2 linked regions of the Pelodiscus sinensis genome follow. The protein of the gene in region 1 interacts with the protein of each later gene in a biochemical or structural test. Links are inferred from orthologs where the notes say so. Each region holds a gene or a part of one and is shown on either strand. Other genes may lie near its edges.

Region 1 (10,959 bases):
ACCATTTTCGCGATCGGGGCTTTTTTGCGGAAAAGAAATCTCTGCTGTCTACACTGGCCCTTTTGCACAAAAGTCTTTCGGAAAAAGACTTTTGCCCGAACGGGAGCAGCATAGTTTTTCCCACAAAAGCACTGACAATCTTACATGAGATCGTCAGTGCTTTTGCGGACATTCAAGCGGCCAGTGTAGACAGCTGGCAAGTTTTTCCGCAAAAGTAGATGATTTTGCGGGAAAACTTGCCAGTCTAGACACATCCGGGAGGAAATGATCTATTAGAAACTGTGTATCTGCAATTTCTTGAGTCTGATACATTACATATTTTCTATAAACTGTGGGCTACCTTAGACAATCCCCAAACATGTACAAGAGTCTCATATTTACACTATTCATCTCTCTCTCAGGCTATTTCTACACTAGGTGATTCTTTTGAATTTACTAAGTTTAACTTCTGGCCACCCAATTTTACAAATTCGAAGTTGTGTGTCCTCACTATGGGGAAGAATCTAATGTAGTCTGAGGTAGCGTGTCCACATTAACAGAGCCTGCTTCAGACACAGAGCCCCGGGAAGCACTTTGGGGAACTGTGGGAGGCCTAATTAGTTTGAATTAGTGGCAACAGAGTGTCTGTACTTACATTATTTTGGACTTACAAGTTCAGGAATAGCATTATTCCTCGTGAAAAGCAAGACTACAAAAGTTGAATTCCATGGCCCCTTACTCCGGAATAACAAGCTTGATAGTGTGGACGCATCACTTAGAAAATCAACCTTGGGGGGCTAATTTCAGAGTAAGGTCATAGTGTAGACCAGGCCTTTATGATTGCCATAATAATCTCAATACTATCGACAGAATCTTATATCTTGTTTTCTGAACCTTCTCACAAAGGGTTCATTTCTGCACCATTGAAGTCAACAGAAGTTCCACCGCTTTTAGAATTCTCACAGACTGTGATTTATTTCTCTCACTAAAATCTTGTCCTGATTTCACGTATATTTCTTATAAAACTTGTTTCTCCATTGAAAGTCTTTTAAAGTTTAGACCAGTGATTCCCAACCTTTTTCCTATGGAAGAAGCCCTAAAATAATTTTTCATATCCCGGGGAACCCCTTTGAAAACGTTTGCTTGGCCAGAAAAAGTTGACAGTGGGGAGCGCAATTCAATTACTGCTAAATTATTGTCAAGAAAATTTATTTGTAAAGAGCTGTTATATATAATGTCAGCTTACATTGTAAGGAAAAAAATTATTTATTTATTCCACGATTTCTCGCGGAACCTCTGACAATGGTCTGTGGAACCCCAGGGTTCCACGGAACCCTGGTTGGGAAACACTGGTCTAGACATTAAAACCTTACTCCCAGTTTGGTAGGAAATTACATGTATTAATTGCATGACTTAGCTCTTTTACAAAACATTTTACTTGCAGGTATTTAGATTTCAGTAAATATTTACTTTGGCCTATTGTTTTAAGATTTTTACATGTCAATAGTTTATTTTCCTTAAGTAATTTTGCAGCTGGGTTAATTCATACTGTACTCTATCTTAAAAAACACCCAACTATCTGCTGACATTGACAGTAAAAATCCTGGATTGTCTTACCAAGGTTAAATAGACTGACAATTTTCTGGGTGTGATTACCACATCTCAAATTCTTACTTCTGTTTTTTAACAGCTGCTATAGCCACGGTTCAATGTCAATATAAAGGATTCACAATTCTTCAAATCTACAATCCTACTGCAAATTTGAAAACAGTAGTTCTGCTGGGAAGTTCTTAAAAGTTCACATTTGCAACCATAATTTAAGTGTGCTGTAGCAAATAATAGTTTATTTTATAGAAAGTGTATATCATGCTCATAAAATGTGCCAGCTGACAACTTGAGAAGTAAAGGCTTCTATTCACGAACCAGGTGAAACACAGTACTGCAAACTTCCCACACTGCCTCAGACCTGACCTACACAGAGGGACCTCTCTTAGGAAAGAGATTAGTAAATTTTTAGCCTCTCTGCTAATTACTGCCAATTATGATGGTAGTTTTGCAACATGGGAATAAGACTGAGACCATCCGACTCACTTAATATATAGCCTATAGAATAGGTATCAGATGGAAAAAGCTGACAGACAATGGTAACATAGATTGGGTTTGAACTGACAACCTAGGGAATCAAAGCTTCTATAGCTGATTACCCATCCCATTAGAGAGCCAACATCCATCTTTTTTTGTTTTGATCTTGTTCTGTGAAACACAAAAAGCACAGCTATAGGACTTATAATTTTTTATGAGGGGGGGAGTGGGAGGAAATTAGAGTGGCAGATGCTCGATAAAGGAATAAACAATTGCTGCTACCTTTTTCATTTTCATTCAGTAGGATTCAGGTGGATTATCTCCACCAACTAAAGATAAATATTTTAAATCTTTTTTATAAAATGATTCATTTTGCTTGCTCTTACAGTATGTACTAACATATATATAAAACAACTTTTGAACCTGACTGGGCAAAAAAGAATACTGAAATTCTTACTTTGATAAACGAAGACTATGCTACCTTTTGATCATATTAAAGGCGATTTATACATTCTCTTTTTGTACACCAGGCTAGAGACTATTGATATATGGTAATGGAATGTACTTTTTGCAATATATTGCATTGATTTACATAATAAAATTAATATATTTATTTCACAAAAATTAAGCTTTATATAACATATGATTTGAAAAAAATGACAATACAATCTTAAGTACAAATATATCCCTTAGGAACACTTTTAAATGTAGTGTAAATTACTATTTCAACCCCGACACATAGCCACACAGACAGTCTCATATGGAACTCACTCAGGATCCTAGTGCAAAGTTGAAACCTACATTACTATGTCGCATGCTGATGGGGAGATAAGAATTTGAAGAAATAATCAAAAGATGTAGAATATAAAGATTTAAGTAACTGGCATGAATTCTTACATAGAAAAAAAATCATGATCCTTTGACCCAGACCATCAACAACTCAACTCCTCACACAAATATGACATTGATGAACAGCATACTTTTCCTTCAACAAACATTTGTTCTTCATTCAGGACCTACTATAGTGTCTTGCTTGTCTCTCTGAAAGTAGGGAAATTTCTCCATAAAACTAGGAAATATGGGTTGATTTTATTCTCACTGAAGAAAATGGAAGTATACAATACTGTATACTATATGTACTGTCAGCAAAGTAAAAAGGAATAGCATTGACAAGAGAAGAGTATAGGTAGTTGCACTTTATCTTTCTGACAATCAAACCCAAGCCACTATATATAGTGTAAAAGATAACCATGTGTAAGTATATTTTTTTAAGGAAAATATCTGATTTTGTATGTTACACTTAACAAGAATATGTTTTTGCCAAATTAAGTTACTAAAATAATTTTATTTTCTGTAAACATTATAATAAGTTTATGCTAGAAATATTATTAGTTTTATATGTGAAAGCATAATTTATATACTCTGCGACTTTTTAAAATGCCAGAAAGCTAAATTAGTTTTTTAAATTTTACACTTTCTGCAGTATGAAGTAAAATGATAAACTATGAAAAAATATATCAATGTGTGCTTTGGAAAACAGTTGTTAAAGAAAACTTGAACCACGTAAAATGTTAGTTTAATGAAGTTGGCCTATAGAAATGTTACTATGCTTCCCAGTTTTACCTCATTCCTTGACATTGTCTGTTCTGGATGATCGTGTGAGAATAAAGGACAAAATAAAATAATGCCAAGATCCATAGTCACTATAGTATATGTATTGCTGTCATGAGAGGCTGTTCATGAAAACAATTCATTTTGAAGCTACTTTATTGTTAAACAGTATGTCTTAGCACTTCCTTCTCAGACATTTTACACTTTCACCGTGACCCAGGGCCATGATGATAGGAAACCATAAGAACATTGCTGCTCACATCTCAACTTAAATCTTACAAAGATTTTTTTCTTAAGGTACAAATTTAATTCAAGATCCAAGGTATTTTTTTCTTAGAAAATTTGGCTTTTCAGTTAGGTAGATTTTCTTCTTAACATTATTTTTTCTGATGATATGCATCCTGCTGCTTCAATCATGCTAACAGTGGTCCTTTACAAGACAAAGAGTAACTGGGTATTGCAATGCTTTATGCTTCCTGGTGTCCTACTCACCCACATTGCAGTTTTACAGTGCTCTATTTTTTTCTTAACATACTGTCAGTTCACCTAGAAAACAATTCTAGTTCACCAATCAGTAAGCCCAAAAACCACTGGAAATGTGTCAAAAGAAAAATAAGTATATTTTAAAATTAAAAGTATAATATTATATTTAGATACTGCATGTCCCTTTTTGAGATTCACACTTGCCAAGAAAAATAAAGGGCTGACATTTGGAAGTGAAGCTTTATTCCTACTACGGATCAAAGAAGCAAATATCAAACAATCATTGGGAATATAGGATCAGACTGCCATGCCTATGATATGCGGTGTTGTTGTAGCTATAATAGACCTTCCTTGTAATTACCCCTGCACCTTTCCGAAGGAGCTGCCATTATTTTGACAAATGTTTGTTGTTTCTTTCTGAAAACACTTCTGAGAGTGCGAATCACACTGCTGGCCCAGGGAGAGGCTGGCGGCTGGGAGCTCCTTAAGCCAAGGCGTTTTCCTGAGAGGAGGCTGCAGCGGGCGAGCGGGCAGCTCCCCCAGCACGAGGCTGAGCACAGGGGCTGATCTGCCCGAACCCGCTCGGCGCACGATTCGCCGCGACCTGCGCCCGGGGCTTCCCGTGACACATTCCGGGCCCTGCAGTACGTGTCGGTTTGTCCCCACGGACCCCCAATGTGGGCAGCGCCGCGCGCCCGGTCCGGCACGAGCCCTTCCCCTCCGCCCGGCCCCACTCACCACAGCTTCCTCTTCAGGGGCATCAGGCTGCCCCGGTTGGAGGCGGTCACCCCTATGGCCATCTGCAGCACCGTCAGGTATTTCTGGTACTTCATCGCGCCGCCCCCCCGCGGGCCCGCCGCCGGCAGAGCCTCTCCAGCCGCTGCATGCAACCAGCAAAGCGCTCTCCCCGGCATCTGCCGCCCTGCGCCGCCGCCCGCCGCGCTGCCTCTTCCCGCCTCCGCCCGCCGCCCGCCGCGCTCCCCAGCTCCCTCTGCTCTGCCGCGCCTCCCCGCGCTGCCCCCCCCGCCGGGGGTCACGCCCTGCCCGCTCACCTGGCCGTCTCGCCCGGCCGCCTCCCCTCGCACCCTGGGGCCTCCGACCCCCCCTCCCCTCGCACCCTGGGGCCTCCGACCCCCCCTCCCGCGGGGCACCCTGGGGCCACCCTGACCCCCTCCCCTCGCACCCTGGGGCCTCCGACCCCCTCCCGCGGGGCACCCTGGGGCCTCCGACCCCCTCCCCTCGCACCCTGGGGCCACCGACCCCCTCCCGCGGGGCACCCTGGGGCCTCCGACCCCCTCCCCTCGCACCCTGGGGCCTCCGACCCCCTCCCGCGGGGCACCCTGGGGCCACCCTGACCTCCTCCCCTCGCACCCTGGGGCCTCCAACCCCCCCTCCCGCTGGGCACCCTGGGGCCACCCTGACCCCCTCCCCTCGCACCCTGGGGCCTCCGACCCCCCATCTCGCTGGGCACCCTGGGGCCTCCAACCCCCCCCATCTCTCTGGGCACCTGCGAGTCTCTGACCCCCCATCTCTCTGGGCACCTGCGAGTCTCTGACCCCTCATCTCTGTGATGCCCCCATCCCTCTAGGCACTTGGGTGACTCTCTATGCCCCCCCCATTTCTCTAGGCACCTCTCTCTGGCCCCCCATCTTTAGACCTCTCAGGTCCTCCCTCCCCACATCGCTGGGCATTTGGGGCCTTTCTCTCAGCTCTACACCCTGCCCCTCACAGGGTTTCCAAGAGGGTGTCACTTTCCCATCCTCCATCACTGGGCCTCTGGGCTCTTCCTCTCCCCACCCACTGCTAGTAACTGGGGTCTGTCTCCTCCCTCCTTCCAGAGCAGTGTTATGCCATATCCTACGGACAGCTCAGTTACCCAGTGCCGCTTTGCTGCTGCCATGCTCCGAGCCTGGCGCTGCCCTCTGCCCTCTAGGTTTCTGTCCCCGCCTCTCTAATCTTATTAGCGTCTAGAATAGTCCCATATTATTGTAATCCCTACCCCCATCACTTGTGATTTAGCTATAATCAGGCTGTGGAGCCAAGCACCACATCAAATGCAAACTGGCTACTGCTCAGAGGCAATGCCCACTGTGCCCTGGGCATAGGAGCTGGGGAGCTTCCCAGAAGTAGAACCTTAAATCAAAACTATCTTCTGAACAGAGAGAAAGAAATGGACAAGAAAGAGGATTATTAAGATCACCTGCCCTACATTCACCTCTGCACCACAGAGATGTGGAATCCTATGCAAAGCCTAATGAATCAACAGCAGAAATAACAAAATATCATTCCTGATGCTCTCACATCCAGAGAAATGATAGAAATGACTGCAGATTTGAAAGACTTATGGCCATTAAATCAGACCTATAAATGTGATATATTCATTCCTAGACATCCACTCTCTGGGCACCTTAACAAAAATAGCTAAAACCAATCATGTATTGAATCTTACACTCAAAACATTACACTAATAATCTCTCTCTATGTAAAATAATTTTCCTGTGGGACGACAGAGTGATGTAATCATGTGCTGCAGCACGAGGGGGGCTGCTATCGGCCCTTCTACTGCACCCTGCTCCCCCAGACTCTGCAGTTAGAGTCTGGGTTCCCTTCAGCCCCTCCTCAGGGATGCCCTGGGCTCCCCACTGGCCCCTGGCTTCCCTATAGGAGAGTTAGGGGGTGGTGGCAGTAGCCACCTCTGGCCTCACTTCTACTTCCGGATCTGGGCCACTGCCTACCTGGCACTCCTGCCTCATGTGCCCCCCTCACAAGATTACAGAGCCAGCAGCACACGCGCTTCCCCACATGCCAGATCCAATGCAGAGTCTTGGATCTTTCTCTTCCTCTCCTGCCCTACAGGAAGCCAGTGCTAGCGCTATAATCCTGGGGGTGGGGGAGAGGGCAGCACGAGGCTGGAGCGCCAGGCAGGAAGCCGCCCAAGGCAGGCAATGGTTCACACAGAATCAGGGCCCCAGACCTGGAAGTAGAAGTGGAGCCAGAGGCAGCTTCCCCATTGGAGCAGCAGGGAAAGCCCCTGGTGCTTGGTGGCATGAAAAAAAGTAAGTGCCCCCTCATGCCCAGCCCCTGCAATCCCAGTGCCTCATGTACCCCCGGCCAGCTGTCTCACCTCCTTCCCCTGGCCAGACACTCTACCCCCGACTGCTCCTGCCTCCTCCCCCAGGCCAGACACTGCCCAGTCGGAGCCCAGCCCCCATCTGGCCATTGCTCCTGTCCCCAGCCCTGATCTTGGGGCAGACCCTGCAGTCCAGTCCCCATCTGGTCACAGGAAGGGCTGGTAGCAGCCCCCTTCCTGCTGCAGCACAGTAAGAGGATAGGCCACAATCCAGCTGCAGTGGATAGATGGGGAGATTGGTAAGTGTAGAGAGCAGGAGGCACAGCCCCCTAATGATTTCTTAAACTTATTTTGGGCCTTTCTCCCCAAAGTTCCTTAATATTTACATAGTGTGATAGATGTTCATGGCACACCATAGGTGACTATAAAACAAGTTCCTGACCTAAAAGGCTTTCATTCTAAAGACAGCGTAGAGAGATAATAGGGTAACATCGTATAATGCTATCTATGTACTTTATAGAACCACTGAGGTCAAACATCTCTGGGGCAGAGGCCAGCATGTAGCTGACGAACTGACCGATAGCATTGAGATTATTTTTGGCTACAGATATTAGAGTAAAATATGTTGAGGAATCTTTCATGTCCACACATAGAAAAGTCTTTAAACAAAATACTAGCAAAAAGGAGACAAAGTAGTTTGGGCTTTGGCACAAAAGATGCCACCAATGAGCTTGGCTGTGAATACTGGGAAATAGTATCCCAGGCTCACAAGAGGCATGTCTACACTAGGAAATAATTTTGAAATAAGTAACATAGAAATAATAACTCCCAAAACAACAAAATCGAAATAGTGCGTCCCCACTACAGGGAGCATCGAAATTACTCAGAATGATTTCGAAATAGCGCATTGACACTGATTGGAGCCCGCCTTGGACTTAGAGCCCCTGGAAGCACTCCTGGGAAGGCATGTGTGGCTGCTTGGTCAGGCAAGCTGTGGTAGATGCTATCAGGACCTCCTCTCCATGGCTGCATCTCACACGCCACTCCTCCACAGGACACAAAACGGATGCCGTGTCCTCTGGTTGCCCTGGTGGACACCACAGCACTTCCAACATGGAGTCAGAGCTGCTGCAAAGCAGTGCTAGGCTCACGGGCCTTGTGCTGCACCGCATGGTGCAGTTCATCCAGACTGCCCACTTGCTGCTCCAGCAGGATGACTACCAGTCCGGACCAGAGGCCCTCATCACCCAGGTCCTGGCACTCCTATTGCTGCAAATGATCCTCAATCCCCTGGACACCATTGAATGATGCTTCTGATGGAGGGAGACCAGTTCAGTCTCATGGGACTGCATCATCCTGCAGCAATGGGATGACAAGCAGTGGCTCCAGAACTCCACACATGTGGAAGGCCACCTTCCTGGAGCACTGCAAATGGCTTGCCCCTGCCCTCAGGCAACAGCATCCTGGGCAACGCAGCCTTCCCCTTGCTCCCCTGACTTATGAAGCCCTACACAGGCAGCCTGGGACCCACCAAGATGACTCTGCCAGGCTGAGGAGGTGCTGCATAGTTGTGGAGTGTGTGTTTAGCCATTTAAAGGGGAGGTTCTGGAGTCTCCTCACCCGTCTGGAACTCAGAAAGCATAACATCCCCTTTGTGGTGGTGGCCTGCTGTGTGCCCACTACCTCTGTGAGAGCAAAGGGGAGACTTTGCTGCCAGGTTGGGGGCAGAGGCTGCACGGATGGCCGGGGCATACAAGCAGCTGGACACCAGAGCCATTTGACAAGCACATAAAGGGGCTTTGCTCATCAGGGAGGCCTTGAGGGAGAGTTTCAGCCAAGGTCAGCTGTGAGACTATCCCTTGTGCCTGTCCACACAGGACCCCTTACGTTGCCTCTCTGTGCTTTTCCTCCCGGACCCCCACCCCTTCCCACCTCCCCTGCCCCTGCAGAGCAAATAAAAAAGCCTTTAAAAAAAAACCAAGACTGTTTATTTGGGGGATATAAAACAGGGGAGGAACTGGGGGAAAGAATCTGGAATGCAGGAGGGGGAGGCGATCTCAGGGATGGGGCCTGGACTGACTGGGTAGCTTGGGAGGCTTTGTGTGCCTTAGAGGTCCCACTGCCCCGTGTTCTGGGACCCTGGTGGCTCCTGGGGGGGAGCTAGGAGGGAAAGGCAAGGGGAGATGGTTGGTGGCCTGCTCCATGCACAAGGCCATGTGCTCCATCAATGCAGTGAGGGAGGAGCACATGGCCTCCTGCTGGTGTGCCAGCTGGTTCCAGGGAGCCTTCCACTGCTCCTGGTCAGTAGCCTGCTCCTGGCACTCCTCTTCAAGCCCCTGGATGAGGGGCTCGAGGCAGGCCATCTGCTACCTCATTAGATCTTCCTGAGTATGTTTCCTCCTGCAGATCCCGGCGGGAGTCGGGAAGATGGCATGGGAGGTGGTGCACACATCACACTCACAGCTGGCTCAGCTGTGAAGAAAAGTTACAAGGGCAGTCATCCCAGGAGACCCTGTATATGAAGCCTAGCCCTAATCGCTGAGCTGACACTGAAGTTCTTGGTTCAGACAATAGCGATTTGCTTCGAGCAAGGCTATATGTTGTCTTGACAACAGGCACTTTCCTGCAGGGGGACGGATGTCCCAGGGGAGCATTGCTACACCCACAGCCTGGGGACAAGCAAGCATGGGAAGGTGCTGGCCAGGCCAGGAGCCTGCGGGTGGCAGGAGGAGACAGGGCAGCTCGGCTTCCTTCCATGTCCTGCACACACCGGGTCCAGCACTGGCGGCATCTCACAGAGAGAGAACTTCTATCCCTGCTCGCTAGAGGAGGATGGAGTTTGTGAGAGGTGTGTGCGAGTGGCAGAGGCTGCTTGCTGGGAGAATGCTACTGGGGTCCCCTCCACTTCCTCCCTCCCGACAGGTTACCATGCAGGGAATCGTGGCTGTGCTGACAGCACAGTACAGTACACGGGGGGGGTATGAAGGATGTGATCGCATCAACCCTTCCCCACCCATGGTCCTCCAAGTAAGCATGAGGCTGGGGCAGTACATTGCCCCAGCATCCCTCCCCAATGCTCTGGCTGGCTGGAGGAAAGCAGAAGCGGCGCAGTGCCCCAACCTCCCTCCCCTACGCGCTAGATGCTGGGAGAAGGCTGGGGCTGATTTGTCTCCCCCACCCGCCACCAAGAGTGGGGATGGGGACTGGGATGGGGATGGGCCTGGGTTGCAGGGGTGGGGCAGCCACCAGCGCCTCCCATGACTCAACCCCCCCCCCACACAGAAATTCCTGAATACAGGCCTGCTATTGTGTATGTGTATGATTGCTATCTAAAGAACAGAATATCAGACCTACTCAATTAGGCACCATAAACCTTAAGAGAAATAGAAGATGTGGTTAAGATCAGAAAAGTGACTGAAAAATGCCACTTTCTTGTTCAATTGACCTACTCCCTGTGTACATGCAGAATGGTCTCTGTTTACTTTAATGACTTTAAATGACTCTAATGTTTTTACTCATGTTAACCCCTGAGCCCACACAAGGCTATGAGAGAGCAGAAGCTGAATTTTATTCAGACCTATCATCAACAGAATTTTTTAGCTAAATTACATTTACCATACTCTGTTTTGCCCTTAATTACAGTTGTACAATTCCATTAAGACAATCATTTACATCTGTCCAATGCTAGCCAATCCTTATTACTGATGAAGCTACATAAAGCATTTTTGGCTTCA
Region 2 (10,534 bases), on another chromosome or scaffold:
GCGGAGCAGGGTGGGGCTCTGGAAGGGGAGTGGGGCTGGAGGCGGGGCAGGGTGGGGCTCTGGAAGGGGAGTGGGGCTGGAGGCGGGGCAGGGTGGGGGTCCAGAGGGAGTGTGGGGCTGGAGGCGGAGCAGGGTGGGGTCTGGAGGGGGTGTGGGGCTGGAGGCGGGGCAGGGTGGGGCTCTGGAAGGGGAGTGGGGCTGTCGGCGGGGCAGGGTGGGGCTCTGGAAGGGGAGTGGGGCTGGAGGCGGAGCAGAGTGGGGTCCGGAAGAGGTGTGGGGCTGGAGGCGGAGCAGGGTGGGGCTCTGGAAGGGGAGTGGGGCTGGAGGCGGGGCAGGGTGGGGTCCGGCAGAGGTGTGGGGCTGGAGGCGGAGCAGGGTGGGGCTCTGGAAGGGGAGTGGGGCTGGAGGCGGGGCAGGGTGGGGCTCTGGAAGGGGAGTGGGGCTGGAGGCGGGGCAGGGTGGGGTCCGGAGGGGGTGTGGGGCTGGAGGCGGGGCAGGGTGGGGGGTCCAGAGGGAGTGTGGGGCTGGAGGTGGAGCAGGGTGGGGCTCTGGAAGGCGAGTGGGGCTGGAGGCGGGGCAGGGTGGGGGTCCAGAGGGAGTGTGGGGCTGGAGGCGGAGCAGGGTGGGGCTCTGGAAGCGGAGTGGGGCTTGAGGCGGCACAGGGTGGGGTCCGGAGGGAGTGTGGGGCTGGAGGCGGGGCAGGGTGGGGTCCGGAGGGGGCGTGGGGCTTGAGGCGGTGCAGGGTGGGGTCCGGAGGGGGTGTGGGGCTGGAGGCAGAGCAGGGTGGGGGTCCGGAGGGGGCGTGGGGCTTGAGGCGGCGCAGGGTTGGGTCCGGAGGGGGTGTGGGGCTGGAGGCGGTGCAGGGTGGGGTCCGGAGGGGGTGTGGGGCTGGAGGCGGGGCAGGGTGGGGTCCGGAGGGGGTGTGGGGCTGGAGGCGGGGCAGGGTGGGGTCCGGAGGGGGTGTGGGGCTGGAGGCGGGGCAGGGTGGGGTCCGGAGGGGGTGTGGGGCTTGAGGCGGCGCAGGGTGGAGTCTGGAGGGGGTGTGGGGCTGGAGGCAGAGCAGGGTGGGGCTCTGGAAGGGGAGTGGGGCTGGAGGCGGAGCAGGGTGGGGCTCTGGAAGGGGAGTGGGGCTGGAGGCGGGGCAGGGTGAGGCTCTGGAAGGGGAGTGGGGCTGGAGGCGGGGCAGGGTGGGGTCCGGAATGGGAGTGGGGCTGGAGGCGGGGCAGGGTGGGGTCCGGAGGGGGTGTGGGGCTGGAGGCGGGGCAGGGTGGGGCTCTGGAAGGGAGTGGGGCTGGAGGCGGGGCAGGGTGGGGTCCGGAGGGGGCGTGGGGCTGGAGGCGGGGCAGGGTGGGGTCCGGAGGGGGTGTGGGGCTGGAGGCGGGGCAGGGTGGGGTCCGGAGGGGGTGTGGGGCTGGAGGCGGGGCAGGGTGGGGTCCGGAGGGGGAGTGGGGCTGCAGGCGGCGTGGAGGGGGCTCCGGGGAGGGGAGGGGGGAGGGGGAAGGGGTGCCCCCAGGGCAGCCAAGCAAACGCGACAGGCCCGGCAGGCTCGGAGCAGCTGCAGTTTAATGTTGAAATCCCAATGGCGTCTACGGACACTTCCCACGGGCAGGAGGGTCCCGGCACAGCCCCCAGCCCAGTCAGGAGGCACCCCCCTCCCGGCCCCCTCCCGGCTCACCCCCCCCCCGGCACCTGCCCTCTTCCCCCCTCTCCCGCCCTCTGCTGGGGCAGCCGGCAGGTCTCCACCCGGGAGCTGCCTGGGCCAGTCTGTCTGCTGGGAGCCCGCAGGAGGCTGGTGGACCTGCCCGGGGCTGCTGCAGTGATACCCCCACCCCCGGGGCTCTGGGCGGCCTCCAGCCTGCTCGGGTCAGACTCGGCCGGAGGGGCAGTGGGCGGCCGCAGGCTCCGAGAGCCGCCAGGAAACACCTTCCCTTTCGGCTCTCGCTCAGCCTGCCTGGCCCTGCTCCCACCTCCCAGACCGGTTTGCCCAGCTGGGCCCTGCCATCCCGCCCCGCCCGGCTCACGCAGGAACCACAGGTGCAGCTAAACAAACAGGGCCTGAGAGTGGCGCACTGCAAACCCGGGGCAGGGCCGGCGGAGCCCCGCGCTGCCTCTGGGGGTGCTAAGAGCAGGCCAGAGCCCCGTTTCCACGTGGGGCTCTCCAGTCTGGCTCGGAGCTGGGAGGGCAGAAGCAGCCGGGAGTCCTCTGCCTGCTCAGCTCTGGGGACGGGGCACGAGCCACGTCCGGAGTGACACTGCCCCCGAGCAGAGCTTGCCGGAGCCCTGGGGAGCGCGGGAGACGGGTGCCTGCACGACAGGCCCACACAGAAACCCAGCAGCATGCCCAGAGCTTGGCACACCGCCACCCCACACATACCCAGCCCCACACCGCCTGCGTGGGCCCAGCGCTTTCACTCTCCTAAGCCAGCTCCCGCTGGGACCTCCGCCAGGCCCCCCGGACGGACCCGAGGCCTGGCGCCGGAAGGAGGCCTCCCCTCAGGCACAACCCCTGAGCCTGGCTGCAGCTTCCCCTTCCTCCGGAGAGGCTGGGCTCTGCTCCCAGGGACCTGTCCTGCCCAGCCCCTCCAGCACGGGGCGTGACCACGGACCTGCCACGTCTGTTACTCCCTGCCCCCGCACGCCTCTCCCCCCTTCCCGAGCGGGCACAGGGGGCAGGCCTGCAGGGGCTCACAGCACCAGCTGGCTTCGCCCGGGGGCTGGGAGCAATTCCAGGAGCTCTCAGTGCCCTGGCCACACGCTGCAGGGGCAGAGTCTTAGCGCCAGGCCTGGCAGCCGCTCAGCAGCCAGGGATGTGCCGGGGGCGCGTCTGAGCAGCCAGCCAGTCCTGCACCTCGGGGCTTCTGCTCAGGAGCCTGCGCCCCCTCCCAAGGCCCCTTCTCCTTCGGGAAGCTCTGTCTGTTCAGCCCCTGGGCAGTGGGGGAGAGCTGGGCTCAGGCAGAGCAGCGGGCTGGGGCTGGGCAGGAGTCTCTCGGGGAGCTGGGCCCCCGCGCTGGGGAGGCCCAGAGCCCGCCCGTCCCTAGACGTAGTTGCTGACCGGCCCCGAGCGCGCCGCCGTGTAGTTGGCAGAGTAGGGCTTCTCATTCTTGGGGGGGCAGCTGCAGCAGAGCAGGGACCCCCCAATGAGCAGGAGCGCGGAGCCAGCCCAGCCGATGTAGAGCGAGGCCCCCAGCTCCCGCTTCTGCGCCTCGGTGACCAGCGGGTTGTAGAAGTCGCGGATGATGTTGTTGGCCGACCAGCACACGGGGATGAGGATCATGATGCCCGAGATGATGAAGATGCTCCCGGCGACGATCGTGACCTTGGCTTTGGCAGACGCGTCCTCCACGCAGTTGGTGCATTTCCCGCCCACGAGGGCCAGGAGCAGGCCCAGCACGGCCAGCACGATGGCGATCACCACCAGGGCGCGGGCGGCCTGCAGGTCCTGGGGCAGGGCCAGCATGGAGTCGTAGACCTTGCACTGCATCTGGCCCGTGCTCTGCACCACGCAGTTCATCCACAGCCCCTCCCAGATGATCTGGGCCACCACGATGTTGTTCCCGATGAAGGCCGTCACCCGCCACATGGGCAGCGCGCAGGTCAGGATGGAGCCCAGCCAGCCAATGACCGAGAGGGTGATGCCCAGCACCTGCAGCCCCATCGAAGCCATCTTGCCGTGCGCCCTGCCTCGCACGAGCCCGCACGGAGCTGACGGGTGTCCCTGGCAGCCGAGGTGCAGTGCTGTGCGGCTGGACCATCCGGACGAGTTATACACCTCTCAGGAGGCGGAGTGTCACTCCCCCCGTACAACCAGTTCCCCAGGATTCCTGGGCTCTGCATTCTCACCACCTCCGAGGACTCTTCCCTCCCCACGCAGCCTTCCTGCTCCCCCTGCAGTGGAGGGAGGCTGCTGCTGGAGGCACACAGCTGGGCTGCCTTACAGCTCCCTCCATTGTCCTGAACAGGCTTTTCCCAGCTTCGCCCCAGCCCCCCAGCGAGTGGGAGACAGCGGAGGGAGCAGGCTCTGTGGGTGGAGGAAGCTTGAGGGGCTGGGGCAGGAGTCTGGGCGCCAGGCCCGTCTCTGCCACAGCCCCACAGTGTGATTTTGGCCATGTCACGTACGCCATCGGTGCCTCAGTTTCCCCCTCTGTAGAATGGTGCTCCCAGGGTCACTGCTGTGGGAGGGCTGGGCTTTCCACAGCTGTCACTGCTCTTGGCCTTACCACGCTGGGCAGCCCCTGCTGAGCACAGCCCAGTGTGCAGAGCAGGGAGCTGTCACCGCGCCCCACCCTGCCCCAGCTGACAGAGCACAAGCAGCCCTCGGCTGTCCCATGGCTGGCTGTTGAGAGCATCCGGGTGTGAATCAGGCCTCAGGGATACGGTGTCCCCATTGTGCCTGGTCCCACCCATCCCCGAGAGCCCCAAACCGGTCTGAGCTGCTGCAGGCCGGCCAGAGGGGACAGGCTAGGGCAGGTCCCTGAGAACGAGCACGGCGCACGAGGGCTTTCGTGGCTGTCACCACAGCAGCCTCCTCCCCTGCACAGCGGTGCCAGGCCCTGACTCAGCCCAGCCTCTGCTCAGAGCCTCCCCTCCGCACCTCTCCGGCAGGGCAGGGGGCGGAGCGAACTGGGGCCGCCCTGCCTTTCGCCTTGGGGCTGCCGGCCGCTAACCCAGGTGCAGGACGCTGGCCCTTCCCTGCCCAGCCCAGCTCGCCGGGCGCACGCCTGCGCTCTGCTGGGACGCGAGCGGGATCGGAGCGATGCAGCTTCGGAGGGGACGCGCCCTAGAGAGCCGCCAGCTGGCCAGGGAGAGCCGCGGGCCCTGGGGCAGAGTGGGCAACGGGTCTCTCCCGTGAGCCCTCACCAGCCCCACAGGCCCCCGGCCTACCTAGGCATTTGCACACCCCTCGCTGTGGCTTCAGGCCAGCCAGGACGGCTGCGTGGACCCGGGGCAGTTCCTGGGAGAACGCCAGAGCAGGGGCCGGGACCTGGGTCCTTCCCAGAGAGCCGAGCACCAGCCCAGGCATTCGGCCAGTGGCCACTTGTGACACGTGTCTGGAATCAGAGCCCCCCCCCCCATGCCCGCCCTGCCTCTCGCCAACTGGGACAGCAGCAGAGAGGTGTGGGAAGGGAGGGGCGGGGCGATCGCACCAGCTTCCCCATGCCTGGGAGTCTGCCCCGCCATCAACATCCAGGGTCCCGCTGGCCCCACTAGCTTTGCCACCCCCAGGGTCCCACCGCCGGCCCACGGCTCTGCTACCCCCCAGGGTCCCACCGCCGGCCTGGGGCTCTGCTGCCCCCCGGGGTCCCACCACCGGCCCGGGGCTCTGCTACCCCCCAGGGTCCCACCGCCAGCCTGGGGCTCTGCTGCCCCCCGGGGTCCCACCACCGGCCCGGGGCTCTGCTACCCCCCAGGGTCCCACCGCCGGCCTGGGCTCTGCTGCCCCCCGGGGTCCCACCGCCGACCCAGGGCTCTGCTACCCCCCAGGGTCCCACCGCCGGCCTGGGCTCTGCTGCCCCCCGGGGTCCCACCACCGGCCCGGGGCTCTGCTACCCCCCAGGGTCCCACCGCCGGCCTGGGGCTCTGCTGCCCCCCGGGGTCCCACCGCCGGCCTGGGGCTCTGCTACCCCCCGGGGTCCCACCACCGGCCCGGGGCTCTGCTACCCCCCGGGGTCCCACCACCGGCCCAGGGCTCTGCTACTCCCCGGGGTCCCACCGCCGGCCCGGGGCTCTGCTACCTCCAGGGTCCCACCGCCGACCCGGGGCTCTGCTACCCCCCAGGGTCCCACCGCCAGCCCGGGGCTCTGCTACCCCCCAGGGTCCCACCGCCAGCCCGGGGCTCTGCTACCCCCGGGGTCCCACCGCCGGCCCGGGGCTCTGCTACCCCCGGGGTCCCACCACCGGCCCGGGGCTCTGCTACCCCCGGGGTCCCACCGCCGGCCCAGGGCTCTGCTACCCCCGGGGTCCCACCGCCGGCCTGGGGCTCTGCTACCCCCCAGGGTCCCACCGCCAGCCCGGGGCTCTGCTACCCCCGGGGTCCCACCGCCGGCCCGGGGCTCTGCTGCCCCCCGGGGTCCCACCGCCGGCCTGGGGCTCTGCTGCCCCCCGGGGTCCCACCGCCGGCCCGGGGCTCTGCTACCCCCGGGGTCCCACCGCCGGCCTGGGGCTCTGCTACCCCCGGGGTCCCACCGCCAGCCCAGGGCTCTGCTGCCCCCCAGGGTCCCACCACTGGCCCGGGGCTCTGCTGCCCCCCAGGGTCCCACCGCCGGCCCGGGGCTCTGCTGCCCCCCAGGGTCCCATCACTGGCCCGGGGCTCTGCTACCCCCCGGGGTCCCACCGCCGGCCCGGGGCTCTGCTACCCCCCGGGGTCCCACCGCCAGCCCGGGGCTCTGCTGCCCCCCAGGGTCCCACCGCCAGCCCGGGGCTCTGCTGCCCCCCCAGGGTCCCACCGCCAGCCCGGGGCTCTGCTGCCCCCCGGGGTCCCACCGCCAGCCCGGGGCTCTGCTACCCCCGGGGTCCCACCGCCGGCCCGGGGCTCTGCTACCCCCGGGGTCCCACCGCCGGCCCGGGGCTCTGCTACCCCCCGGGGTCCCACCGCCGGCCCGGGGCTCTGCTACCCCCCGGGGTCCCACCGCCGGCCCGGGGCTCTGCTACCCCCGGGGTCCCACCGCCGGCCCGGGGCTCTGCTACCCCCGGGGTCCCACCGCCGGCCCGGGGCTCTGCTACCCCCCGGGGTCCCACCGCCGGCCCGGGGCTCTGCTGCCCCCCGGGGTCCCACCGCCGGCCCGGGGCTCTGCTGCCCCCCGGGGTCCCACCGCCGGCCCGGGGCTCTGCTGCCCCCCGGGGTCCCACCACTGGCCTGGGGCTCTGCTACCCCCCAGGGTCCCACCGCCGGCCCGGGGCTCTGCTGCCCCCCGGGGTCCCACCGCCGGCCCGGGGCTCTGCTGCCCCCCGGGGTCCCACCGCCGGCCCGGGGCTCTGCTGCCCCCCGGGGTCCCACCACTGGCCTGGGGCTCTGCTGCCCCCCAGGGTCCCACCGCCGGCCTGGGGCTCTGCTGCCCCCCGGGGTCCCACCGCCGGCCTGGGGCTCTGCTGCCCCCCAGGGTCCCACCGCCGGCCCGGGGCTCTGCTACCCCCCAGGGTCCCACCGCCGGCCTGGGGCTCTGCTGCCCCCCGGGGTCCCACCGCCGGCCTGGGGCTCTGCTGCCCCCCGGGGTCCCACCGCCGGCCTGGGGCTCTGCTGCCCCCCAGGGTCCCACCGCCAGCCCGGGGCTCTGCTACCCCCCAGGGTCCCACCGCCGGCCCGGGGCTCTGCTACCCCCCAGGGTCCCACCGCCGGCCCGGGGCTCTGCTGCCCCCCGGGGTCCCACCGCCGGCCCGGGGCTCTGCTGCCCCCCAGGGTCCCACCGCCGGCCCGGGGCTCTGCTACCCCCCAGGGTCCCACCGCCGGCCTGGGGCTCTGCTGCCCCCCGGGGTCCCACCGCCGGCCTGGGGCTCTGCTGCCCCCCAGGGTCCCACCGCCGGCCCGGGGCTCTGCTGCCCCCCAGGGTCCCACCGCCAGCCCGGGGCTCTGCTACCCCCCAGGGTCCCACCGCCGGCCCGGGGCTCTGCTACCCCCCAGGGTCCCACCGCCGGCCCGGGGCTCTGCTGCCCCCCGGGGTCCCACCGCCGGCCCGGGGCTCTGCTGCCCCCCAGGGTCCCACCGCCGGCCCGGGGCTCTGCTGCCCCCCAGGGTCCCACCGCCGGCCCGGGGCTCTGCTACCCCCCAGGGTCCCACCGCCGGCCTGGGGCTCTGCTACCCCCCGGGGTCCCACCACTGGCCTGGGGCTCTGCTACCCCCCGGGGTCCCACCGCCGGCCCGGGGCTCAGCAGCTGGGGCAGCGAGGAGCTTGAGGTGCTGGCTCCCCAGGCCTGGCGGGCAGGGCAGGGACGGGTGTAAGGGGGAGGCTGTGGCAGGATGGCCGGGCCCAGCCCCATGCGGCCTGGCGAATGGTGGGGCCACAGCTGCAGCAGCGTGACCCAGAGGACGCCCCAGGCCTGGCAAGTGCCCTCCTGCAGCTCCGCGGGCCCCGGCTGGGCCTGTGCAGCGCCATGGAGACCAGAGACGTCAGGGTGCTAGACAAGCAAAGCTCAGTCGCCTTGGAGACGGTCACACCCACCGTCTGCCGCGCCCCTTGGGTCACCGCCTGGCCACACGTACTGACGGGGAAGCAGAAACTCCCGGGCTGAGCTACGGCCTCTCAGCCTCCCCGGGCTAGTGGGGACTCCCCTCTTCTGGCGCCAGCTGGGGAGGCTGAGGCCTCACGCCTGCGCGCCCCCCCGCGAGGGCCGTTAGTATTGCTGGACACTGCCCCCGAGCACGCCCGACCCTGCCGGCGGCTCTCACCGGCCTGCTGGGCAGAGCAGCTGCCTGCAGCGATGCCCAGGCTGCACTCTTCCATCGGAGAGAGGCGATTTGCGCTAGTTGCGTATCTTTTCTCGATTCAATTTCGAAAGAGGCTTTTTTGAAATTTGGCGAGTCTACACGGTGCCAAATTTCGGGAACCAGGGCTTTTGAGCCCTCCCTTATTCCTCGCAGAACGCGGTTTACAGGGATGGCGAAAGAGCACGTCCGTTCTTTCGAAAAGGATGTGAAGAGTGGACGCGTTCCTTGGACACAATGTTGCTTTTGGGGGATTCTTCCAGTATCCCGAGGAAGCAACGCCGTCTGGACGCAGCCTGAGAGAAGGGCTCCTCCGGCCCAGCTCGGAACAGGGCCCAGGTCTCTCCCAGACCAGGCCGAGGCCCCGTCAGGACGCCTGTAAGTGCACCAGTGTCCGTAACCGCAGAAACAGGCTCTGACACGGTCTCAGCCCTAGCGAGCAGACAGCAGAAAGAGGGTTATGAAAGCAGCCACTTCCACACCGAGAAAGCTGCTCTTGCCGGCTCCTGCCTGCACATGCAGCCAGTTAGGGCCGGGCTGTAGCGGACGGGGTGTCTGTGTCGTGCCCTGCCTGCTTGGTGCTCACACGGAGTGAGCTGCTTGCATGCAGAGAAGTGCCAGGCTAGGCAGGCAGCTACACACAGCAGCCAGGCGACCACAGTGGGCACCCACTGGCTCCAGATGTGCGAATCGCATGCTTCTCTCGGCCTGTAACAGCTGGATGCAGCAGAGGTTGCAGAGCTAACAGGTGGCATTTACACTCTGCGGGTATCCCATAGAGTGGTGACAAAATATGCACAAAGAAACCTGGAGAAATTGTTGGATCAGTTAGTGTAAAACTTCTGAGCTTAGAACTGAATTTGGATGCTGTTTCAACCCTGGAACACTAGAACTGGAAGGACCTTAAGCGGTCATCAAGTCCCATCCCCTGCCCTCTTGGCAGGACCAAGCACCATCTAGACCCTCCCTGGCAGGTGTCTGTCCAACCTGCTCTGAAATATCTCCAGGGAAGGAGATTCCACAACCCCCCTGGGCAATGTATTCCAGTGTTTCACCTCCGAAAGGCAGGAAGATTTTCCTAATGTCCAAGCCAAGGTTGCATTGTTAGCATTTGTGTTGTGGCTAATGGAAGCTGTCCTTTAAGAACATGGTGGGGCACCTTATGTGTGTTTGTGTCTGCGAATGGCAGCAGCGTATAGCAAATGTGACCCATCTGTCCAGATCGGGCCTATGCGAGCTCCCCAGAGCGCAGAACAAACCTTCCCTTAACAGTCTCCTGCATGAAGAGAAGAGCCCATGGGGGACTGACAGACGCTGGGCACTGCTATGAGCTCCAGAGCCCTGAGCGAATGAGCATGCTCAGCTCTGGAGCCCATCTGGATCCTCTGTCCTGCTCCTTGGGCCGCAACCCTCAGTTATGTGCTGGGGTGGGTGTGACGTAGTGGGGGGTACCTTGCTGGTTGCTGGGCAGTGGGTTGGGAGTGACCTCCACTGGCTGCTGGCTGCAGCACGGCCCAGCAGGGCCGGGGATGAGTCATTATGCAAGGGGGCTTCGAACCTGTCCGACCAGTGTCTCCCAGGGAGCGGAACAATGGGAAGAAGGGGAGTGGAGCCCTGGCTGGGGGCAGGGCTGGAAGTGAGGGAGTTAGGTTTCTGGCTGGGATCATGGAGGAAGCAGCCTAGGCAAGGGGCTGGGATTTAGGGGCCCAGGCTCCCCCATCTCAAGGGAGGCTGAGGCATCCTAGGCCTGCCCTGGAACCAGATGACATCTGTGCTGTGCTGTATCCTGGAGAAGCAATAAACTCGCTCTGTTCTACTGGCTGGTGGAGTCTGTCCGTGCCATTACGGGGGTGCAGGAGACGGGAAAACCCCAACGCGCCGTCACAGTGGGAATCTCCCATTCTCCTGGCACTCGGCTCTCCAAAGGGAGTGCAACTGGTACCGAACCTGGCTCCGAGCTTTCTCCCAGCTGAACTGACTGGAACTGCATCTGCAGAGAGGGTGGGATCAACCTTCGGCCCTCCCGAGCGAAATGCAGGAGCCAAAAGCCACGTGGCTCTGACCTAAGGCTGGAGCAGACTCACGAATCCCCACGAGAGGGGACACGGCCCCGTCCCC

Evidence for each region.
Region 2: the proteins of TJP1 (region 1) and claudin-4-like form a complex in vitro, tested with the Homo sapiens proteins (2 studies listed by BioGRID and IntAct, with this or other methods). The link is inferred for Pelodiscus sinensis from reciprocal best matches to the Homo sapiens genes TJP1 and CLDN4.

Annotation. Positions count from the first base shown.
Region 1 is NC_134724.1:44,961,264-44,972,222, forward strand, and holds the start of TJP1 (tight junction protein 1), read right to left. Parts: upstream 5,038-10,959; 5' UTR 4,989-5,037; coding exon 4,894-4,988; intron 1-4,893. UniProt on the Homo sapiens protein: TJP1, TJP2, and TJP3 are closely related scaffolding proteins that link tight junction (TJ) transmembrane proteins such as claudins, junctional adhesion molecules, and occludin to the actin cytoskeleton.
Region 2 is NC_134731.1:19,101,408-19,111,941, reverse strand, and holds claudin-4-like, read right to left. Parts: upstream 3,788-10,534; 5' UTR 3,665-3,787; coding exon 3,035-3,664; 3' UTR 1,672-3,034; downstream 1-1,671. UniProt on the Homo sapiens protein: Can associate with other claudins to regulate tight junction structural and functional strand dynamics.